Kluyveromyces lactis: one gene and its partner. The protein of the gene in region 1 purifies or fractionates together with the protein of each later gene. This does not show direct contact. Links are inferred from orthologs where the notes say so. Each region holds a gene or a part of one and is shown on either strand. Other genes may lie near its edges.

What was found. The genes of interacting proteins can lie anywhere in the genome.
Region 2: the proteins of SXM1 (region 1) and LHP1 purify together in Saccharomyces cerevisiae (affinity purification with mass spectrometry; 4 studies listed by BioGRID, with this or other methods). This does not show direct contact. The link is inferred for Kluyveromyces lactis from reciprocal best matches to the Saccharomyces cerevisiae genes SXM1 and LHP1.

Annotation. Positions count from the first base shown.
Region 1 is NC_006039.1:573,252-578,964, reverse strand, and holds SXM1 (Sxm1p), read right to left. Parts: upstream 3,361-5,713; coding exon 511-3,360; downstream 1-510. Other genes in the region: negative cofactor 2 transcription regulator complex subunit NCB2, read left to right, coding at 1-209; SMP3 (glycosylphosphatidylinositol-alpha 1,2 mannosyltransferase), read left to right, coding at 3,778-5,370; proteasome regulatory particle base subunit RPT3, read right to left, coding at 5,460-5,713.
Region 2 is NC_006041.1:127,895-132,089, forward strand, and holds LHP1 (tRNA maturation protein LHP1), read left to right. Parts: upstream 1-2,034; coding exon 2,035-2,835; downstream 2,836-4,195. Other genes in the region: 1-acylglycerol-3-phosphate O-acyltransferase SLC1, read right to left, coding at 1-597; PSY3 (Psy3p), read left to right, coding at 1,038-1,664; KNH1 (Knh1p), read right to left, coding at 3,100-3,885.

The sequences.
Region 1 (5,713 bases):
TAGAAGAGATTTTACATCAACACAAAGAAAACCAGAAGATTAGAGAGAGGCGGGATGCTAAATTCAAGAAATCCGGTTTGTCTGAGGAGGAATTACTACGACAACAGGAAGAATTATTCAGACAATCTAGGTCAAGGTTACAACAGACATCAGTATCGGACGCCTCAAGCAACGATCCAGAAGTTGGCGTAAAGGCCGAAGAATTCTGAAAACATAACAAACAAAGTGTTGCATTATCTTCAAAACTCACTCCTCTATACTTGACAGACTTGCTCTAGAAAAGTTTATAGAAATACTTGTGTAATAGTACGATTTATTGTTATATGAAAGAGTTTGAAAATTCGTTCTGCATTTCAAGGACGGGAGTATGTATGAAATACCTCATGTGATTGACTGAAGTGCGTTTATAGAATATGTATACCTGTCCAATTCTGAATTTGGAACGATTATACTCTGCCGTTTGTAGATTTTATCGGATCATTTTCTATCATTATTGGTTAAGGCACGCGTTCATAAGCTTGAAGTTACAAACTCAAGTATTGTTTTCAATGCATCTTGAGAGTCGCTGTCCATTGATTGCATCACAATATGATACCTTTCGGGATTATACTGCTGTAGTGATACGAAGAATTCATGCAATTTTGAGAATGGATCGATATCATCTAACGGAGAATCATTGAAGTCGTCGTCAATTTCATCATAGAAATCGAGGCCCTCATTATCATTATCATCTTCTGCATCAAATTCTCCATTTCCGATCTTTGTACGCCTACTCATAGCATCTGGAAGTTCCTGTACTAGTTTCACTAGTTTGTTGGCTAATGGTTTCATAAAGCCAGTAACGCAACTTGGTAATTCAGGCAACTGGAACATAGACATGATACCAAACATTTGTAATTTGATGGAAAATACTGTCCTTGGATTACTGGAAACCCATTTGTTTAATAGACCAAGAAGTAATCCTTTGCTTTCGCATATTTGAAGAGTCTCCAATGGTTTGCAATATAATCCTGCCATGAACATTTTAACTATTAGCGCATCGTCTAAACCAATTTCTTCATCCACTGCGGCATCACAGAAAGAAGCAAAAAGAGGAATTTCTTTCAAAGAAAGAGCATATGATATTAATAGTTCAACAGCACATTGAATATCGTAATCGACACCGGAACCCATAACTTCTGTCAAAATGCTCAAGAAAGCTGGCAAGTATGTTTGATCCTGAACGAATCCGAAGTTAATTACTGTTTCAAAGAAGATTTTGTAAGATTCAAAGTAATCCAACGCATATGTCTGGAAAGAGTCAAGAACGTCATGAATCATTTCCCATACTTCGGGGGTGAATTCATTGAACAAACTCTTGGAGCTTAGGGCTAATGAATCCATCAAATCAACAATCTCAGTTAAGAAGATAATTTGTGCGTTGACAATCACAAATTTAACGACAGGAAGGAATTTGCTTACCAAACATACTTTATTCATGGACATAGCCATAGTAGTCATTGTTTGTAACATACCGGAGGCCTGGAATTCTTGGTCTTGGTCCGAAATTGAGTTACTGTTACTATTTTGAATCAAAGATTGGCCCAGTTGCATAAACTGATCGACTAAGTTCTGAGCTAAATCATTAGCAAATGGAGTAAGCTCTTCCGCAAACCTTTCCACAAACGCTTCCATGACTTCTGTTAAAGTGTCAATTTCAAACTCTTTAGATAATTTCAAAAGTCTTTCCATGATTTGAGGAGCTTGGGATTTAATATGCGAATGAATATCAGGATTAGATATCACCAATGTTTTCAAAGCATCAGCACTGACAATTTGAATCGGTAGAGAGCTGTTCTGAACGAAGTTCCCATATACAGATTCAAAAATTTGGGATAAAATTCCCATATCCGAAAATGGAGATTGATAGATTGAAATGGTCTCCAATGCTCTAGCGACCAAGAATGAATGTTTTTTATCACTTAGTAGAGGTAGCACGAAGTGAGAGAAAATGCTCTCTAGATTGATAGCATTATCAGTTTCCGAAGTAAGGAAAGAAGACAAAGTAGATAACATCCTCAAAGCACCCTCCTCTTGGTAGGCCGCTTGGATAACGTCATTCTGTTGATATTGGAGGAATACTTGGTTGATCAAAGGCAATAGTTTGTTAACCTCTTCCATTCTTTTGTGACCGATAACAAAAATAAAGTCTGTGGCAGCCACGTCTGCTGTGGAACTTTCTTTGTTTATGTCGAAATAACGTCTTGTATATTCTTCTGGATCTTCTTCGAACAATTCTACGGATGCATCAGAGGCGCAAAGACATGGGAAAATAACATGGTTGATAATGCTCTCAAAATGTGGTTGAATCATTGACCATAATGTATTTTCAATCGCACATTTTTCCAAAAATTGAATTAAATAATGTAATGCGGATTCGCTGAGCCATAATGTTCCTTTGTTGGCACCCCATAGTTCAATGACTTTGAAATATTCTTGTAAAATGGTTGGAACAATATTTTGGAAAACGTAGTCGACCATTTCTTGATTGATAGCCTTTGTGGTCCTGCTATACTTTGCAATAAATTTGTATAAATTACCGAAAGCCCATTTATTAACTTTTACCCTTTTGTCTAAGGACCTATCAGCCAAATCCAAGGCCATAGTCTCAGACGGCATCGGTTTGGAACAAAGGAAAAGATGCAATTGAATCCAAGAATTTAGTTTGTCAATATTCGTGAAATAACTTGGGAAGTTATTCAAACAACCATATTTGAATGACTTCAATATCAAGTACAACATTTCGTTCGACTTATGACTTTCTTGGTTAACTAGCTGACCAGCAATCTGTTCCATTACTGGAAAGACGCTATCGATAAATGCGTCAATGTATTGCCTATTGCCGTACATGTCCCATCTGTGATTGATACATACTTCAAAAATCAACAATAGACCTGGATAAATATACTCTTGTTTCCCAGATTGCAATAGCTCAACAACCTGGTTGGTGAAGACCCAATCGTCATTCCATTTTAAGATGGCGCCGATAGATTCAGTAATATGTGGTCTAATATGATTATTCTCATAGTTAGTTATTAATGCATTAATCAAAGCCGGCTTCACAGCATCTTTCTCCTCTGGAGAAATAATAACCGTCTTGCGAGAGTTCCAACTTCTTTGTATCATATTCTTCATATAAATTGCGCAACTCATTCTGATTGGTATTTCCAACTGGGCATTATTTGTAGTGTTTAGAAGAAAGGAAAGGAAACCTGGTTCTTTCTGTAATTCAAATAACTGCTGTTCGGCTGCTTTGATTGATCTAGCATCGCTAGTCATAGTTTGACTAAACAATTGCAAGGTTAATTGTTCATTCACCATTGTGCTTTTTGTTTAGCCCGTTATGCTACTGTTCTTAATGAAACGTCGTTGATTATACTTGACAAGCTTACTTGTCAAAAAACTTTTGTCAGAAAACTTTTGAATCCTTTGGTATGGTTCGATGAGATTGCAAAAATGAATTTGAGGCCAAAAAGCGAGTTAACACCAGATTGTAAATATCGTTAAAGAGAAACGCTGTTTCAGTCCGTTGAATCATCATAGTGGTTGGTGATAATACATTGAAGCTGTCTCTATCTCATCGAGATTGAAAAAAAAACGAAAATTTGAACCACACATGCATCAGAACACCACACCAAAATTGCAATGTGTTGGTAGTTTTGTTGACATTTAATATGCCAACCTGAGCTGTTAGTTTCCAAGGCCATGTAAGTAGGTTAATTGAAGAATGTACTTATAATGTCAATTGACATTGAATCTTTCCCTGAGCTGCAAAAAGGCGGTACTTCTAACACTGTATCCTTCTCATATAATATGAAATTAAAGTTATATGAGTATCTGGGATTAATCATAGGGCTGCTCATTGCGTTAGAACCATCGTACATCCATCCCGATGAGCATTTCCAAACATTAGAACCCATTTTCACAGCATGGACTGGAGCTAAAGGTACTGCTACATGGGAATTTCTTCCAGAAAATCCTTGCAGAAGTATCACTATTTTGAGGCTCTATTATACACCTCTGCTATGGCTGAATCAACATATATTCCACTTGAAACCCTTGGGTCTATTGTATCTTTATCGGCTGCAGAACTATTTACTCTATACGGCAGTGGTCATATTCTTCCTCGAGTTTTGCGAGGTCTCCATAACGCATAAAACTAAAGCAAAATTCTTCATCAGAACCTCATATGTCACTTGGGTCTTTCAAAGCCATACGTTTTCCAATTCCCTTGAAACAATAATATTGTTACTATTCCTGTTTACTTGTCAATATTGCATTTACGAGGTACGAAGTCGGCACTATGCAACCTTCTCATCATGTTTCTTGCTAGGTGCATTGATTTCCATCGGCACATTCAACAGAGTCACTTTCCCTGCGTATTTGATCTTACCTTTGTTATCTGTGTTCTACCATTGCTTTCTCTCTCACTGGATTGGGGTGGCATATACTGCCATTAGTACGGCACTAGTCTCTGCGCTCATCATATTGTTCGATACGAAGGCGTATAGCAGTACAGACTGTAAAAGCTGGGTCATTGCTCCCTTAAATAATCTGCTTTACAATATGAAGGTGGATAATATTGCTCAACATGGGTTACACCCACGATATACTCACCTTTTAATCAACTTACCTCTTATTTGCGGTCCCATTATCCTACTCTTTATTTCACAAAAAGCTGTGCTTAAACTGCCTGCATTATCTTGTATTTCTGGCATATTAATGCTTTCTCTTTTCAGACATCAGGAATTACGCTTTATAATACCGGTTCTACCATTACTTTGTGCATCGATGAACCTTGACAATTTCGATACTTTCTTTCAAGCAGAAACCATCATAACTTCATGGCTCGTCTTTAATATTGTCATGGGATTGATAATGGGAGTATTCCATCAAGCAGGAATAATACCTCTCATATCCTACTTCTCAGGTGAAGAATTCCCTGTTCATATTTGGTGGAAGACATATTCTCCTCCGACGTGGATGTATTCCAATCCTGATCTGACGGTTTCTACCACGAACTTTAAGGAAAATGTAGAGTTTGTCGATAATATACCTTGGCATGTTGTATCAAATCATGTTGTTGATTTAAAAGGTAGTGACATTGAGTTACTAAATAAAACTCTTACAAAATTTTCGGAGAACACAGACTCAATTCAGCTAATCATGCCAAATACTGTTCTCGATAAATTGACCCCCCTTCAGTCGCAATGGAAGTTCATCACAGAATGGGAGACGCAGCAGCATCTCGATTTAGATCACATTGATATGCCAGACTGGACTACCATAAAGCCAGGATTAAGGCTATACAACGTAAGTCTAATAGTTTGAAATATTACTGGCTTATTTTCTATTAGGAATACTTTCCAATATACACTGCATTTACCGATATGTATTGAGTCAAACACAATTAAATTAAATTATTTATAGAAGTCGAATTTATCAACATCGCTACCTGACTTGACTTGTGAAGCATACGCTTCCTCCAAATCGCTTTGTAGGATGACGTATCTGTTCTTTCTGACAGCTCTTAGACCAGCTTCTTGCATAATGGCGGCAATCAAAGCACCAGATAAAGGATCATTTCTGATGATCAAAGAATCTAAATCTGCTTCAGGAGCTAAAGACATCTTTGCAGCTATAGTACCAAAAATTAAACGACGTTCACGCCTGT
Region 2 (4,195 bases), on another chromosome or scaffold:
GGGGTGATAGATGGAACTAGTGTTTGATACAACAACAGGGATTATCTGTATTTTCCCCTGTTGCGCCAAATGGAAAGCACCTTTCTTAAATGCTGATAGTTCTAGCTTTGTAGAATAAGATCTAGTTCCCTCAGGGAAAATCCAGAGGGCCCTTTTATCCTTCTTTAGGTTGGCCAAAGAGTCATTTAAGACCTTGATGGCCTTTTCTCTGCTAGATCTATCCAAGAACAAAGTACCGCTAAGACTCATAAACCAACCCAGTAAGGGAACCCACTTTATCTGTTTCTTAGCAGTAACTGTGCATCCAGGTGGGAAAGTTCTACCCAGCATTAGGATATCCAATTCAGATTGATGGTTCGAGATAAAAATAGCTGGCAAATCGTTCAATCTTTCACCATTGATCAAATTAATCTTAATACCCATGATGAAACCCATCACTCCATAGAAACAGCGAGCAGTACTCCATTGCGCCAAATGCTTTTTACCAATTAATGAAAATACAATCGATGCAAGCACACCATACAATGCACACGATGATAAAAGTGTAACTGCAATGACAGACTTCCCCCAGAAAACTATTTTGCTGAAAAAACCCATAGCTGAATTAAATGGATTTTGTTTAATGTTTCCCACTGCTCACACAGTAATAGAATCAACAAATAACTGAGTGTACTATTGGTACCTTATGCAATGATTTTTCGACTGTTTTTTGTTGGTATTATTATTCGAGAAACTATTTCAATCTTGTGAGATTTTTTAAAAAAAAGAACGAGAACGAGATGAAACTCAACATTGTAACAACAGTTGGAACGAACATACCCAGAAAGTTTCGTGATAGCGGAATCGGCAGCAATCAATTATCTGTTAAAACCAGACAGATCCAGTTAGAACTGTGAATTTGCAAACTAAATAATCCTGGATATGATCCATGTATTTAGTGAAATCATCACCATCAAATAAAGGAACAGAGCACCTGGATAACAATTGAGGGCATTTGAAATCTGTGTTCAAGTAGCAAACGACGTAGCGAAAATTAAATGAACGTTGTGTCAAGGTGCAAAGTGTACTCTTTGGACCAATTTACAAGTCCATACCAGTATACATGCGAAGTCAACGGTAAGAAATGTACCAGGATTCACGTCGTACAGGAATCTCTGCGAGGAAACGGTAAAACAAGAACCATAGTGAACACAGTGCGCGAACAATGTGAGGGGAACGGACTAATCTTGAACATTTCTTCGATGCCCCGGAACGACCACAACGACAATGACTTGCTCGAAACATACCCGGAATTCCAACAGACTAATCTTTCCATGCTTCAGTTCGATTCCTTTATTCAATTTATGTCTCAATTATGTACAGATCCCGTGACCGCATTGTCTAGATGCCAACCGCAGAATTCGGAAACGTCTACATCGAAGCAGTTGGCATGGGTCCTCATTGATAATTTGTCGCACTTATCCATGGACCCCAAATTCGACGCCAAGTTGCTCAACAGATCAATTAGACTCGTACAACAGACTTTCGGTTCTGTCGTTATCTCTACAAGTTTGCCCTTATCGTTCCATGGTGGTATAGAAAGCACGTTTAAACATCAATCAACAAAATGTGCAAGTGGTGACCGTCTGTTACCCTATTTCAATGAATCCGACATTATCCTATAAGCTCTACAAAACGCTGTGCTAGAAACCGTGTTGCCCTACTATGTGATCTTCTCATCTCTGCATGGCAAAAGGACATGGTTCTGTCTACACCAAACAATTTTTTTTTTTTTTCATGCATTTTTGAACATGGAAAAACGTTAAAGAATTACGAAATGACATTCCAATTGAAGTTATGATACAGGTTCTAATCGATACTGTTAACATCCTTGTCTTTGTGCATTGTAGCTTCCATTTCCTTTCAGAACTGGGTTAAAGTTTAAGGCTTTTTCCCTATTGTTTGTGGTCATTTATCTAGCTGTCTATTGGATTGTTTGGATCATAGCCGTAAAGAATCGAATCGCACTTCTCATAACAAGTTATACTGGAAACAATGTCATTTTCCCAAGAGATCCGTCGTCGTGGGTCTTATGCCCCAATCGATTTCACTCCTGAGGTGTCTCAGGCTTGCCGCAAACAAGTGGAATTCTACTTCAGTGAATATAATTTGCCCTACGATAAATTTTTACGCTCTCTATGCGAACAGAATGACGGATGGATTCCAATTACGACACTTGCGTCTTTCAACAGAATGAAAAAGTATAGACCTGTCGACAAAGTTGTTGATTGTTTAAAGGACTCGACGATTCTAGAGGTTAGCGCTGATGGTGAAAATGTGCGTAGAAAGAGTCCATTAGAGACAGTTGATTTTAAGGACAGGAACGAAAGAGTGTTAGTGTTTATGAACTTTAAGAAGATCGAAAATGAAGATAAAGATAAATTCCTAGAATTACAAGAAGAACTAGAGAAGTTCTTCAATGGGTTCACCACTGTTAACCAAGTTCGTTTGAAGAAGGACCATAAGAAATACTTCAACGGTGTTGTCGAAGTCGAATTCAAGACGAAGGAGGAATGTGTCAAATTCTTTGAGGAACACAAGACCGATTTCTCATATCAGGGACAACCATTGGAAGTTGTCACTAAGAAGCAATACAGCCTCGCCAAGAATGCAACTAGATCAAAGAATTTCGGTGGTTCTGGTCAAAAGACAAGATCATTAACTGGTTACAGGAAGAACATCCCAAAGACTAATGACGAAACTCCTGAAGCCAGTTCTGAATCAAAGCTCAGTGAAGGAGATGCCAATGCTCCAACTGAGAAGAAATCGGAAGAAAGTGCCACAGAAACTGCTTAAGGCAGTCCGGGCTATTCTCATATTGTTATTCTAAAGCTCTTTTTTCCGGTGTCAATCGAACTCTTTGCCAGTAAATTGTAAGAGGATGGATACCAATGGAATCTCCAAGAAAAGAGGTTTAACGAAATAATAAATACACACACTTATATATGATAAATAATGACATATATTAAGTTTTTAAGAAGAAAAATATAAAGTTTACCCATAAATGTTTTTTGTTTAAAGACTAGAATGGAAATTGTCACTTGTATCGATTCTTATCATTCAAATAGCTCTCTTCACATTCAATTTCCTAACACTCATAGTCTGTCTGTCTTTAGGATCGTACCATCCACCATTCTCGGTGGGGAATGGTGCAGGGGTTGCATAGTTGTAATCTGAAGGTCTTGTGTATGACCAACCTGGGGTGATGGTGGTTTTTTGCTGCAAAGAATTGATCAGCGAAGGGAAGTAAGACACCGCACTTGTCGCGTATCTTCTTGACCAAGTCTCCAAAGTTACAGTAGAACCCGGTTGTTGTTGCATTGGAGCAAATCTGGAAATACCCGTTTGTTTGGTATATGGAATAGTGAAAGATCTTGTATCTACTGAAGCCGCATCAAGAGATATCTGCTTTGGAGGACCATCAGTGTCAGTCACAGATTCTGCACTGACACTCAAGGTACCGTCCATACCTGACAATTTCATACGACCACTGTAATGAATCGTGTATCCTTCCTTATACGCGGCGTAGATCTGAATGAAATATGTCCCGTCTGGGGCCGTGGTGGCTGGGAAACTGGCTTGGTACTTGTAATCACTCACCTCGGAAGGCTTGAATGGACCCAAAGTGTCAACAGGTACGATATTAGAATCCGAACCAGTACATAAGACGAATTTGTACTCGATGATCTCATCTAACAGTGGGGTCGTCTCGTCGTCAGTCCATTGGATTTCAATTTCGACTTCACCACCAGAAGCAGCGTAAGAAGAACCTGGTTTTGGAACCGTGACAGAAACATCAGCTAGAACTTTACAGACGTACAACAGCAGTAATACCAGTAGTCTCATTCTATGTATATTGTTTATTTTTCAAATGCTGATTTGAATCTCTGGACCCTAAATGATTCAATGATAATGCCACACACACGCTTACTACTCGTCAGTTACCGTTATGTTGTAGTAGTATGAAGAAACACTTTCTATGCCACGTAGTTCAATACTGGCCACAGGTCTTTACGGTCTTTTATACCTTCTTGATCTGAGAAACTTGTTCGCCGTGAAAGTCCCAAATATATATAATTGAAATGTGATTTGAGTTCTAGAAACAATTTCTTAAAAAAATCGATGTCTGGCCATGGGAACTTAGCAAAGAGACATA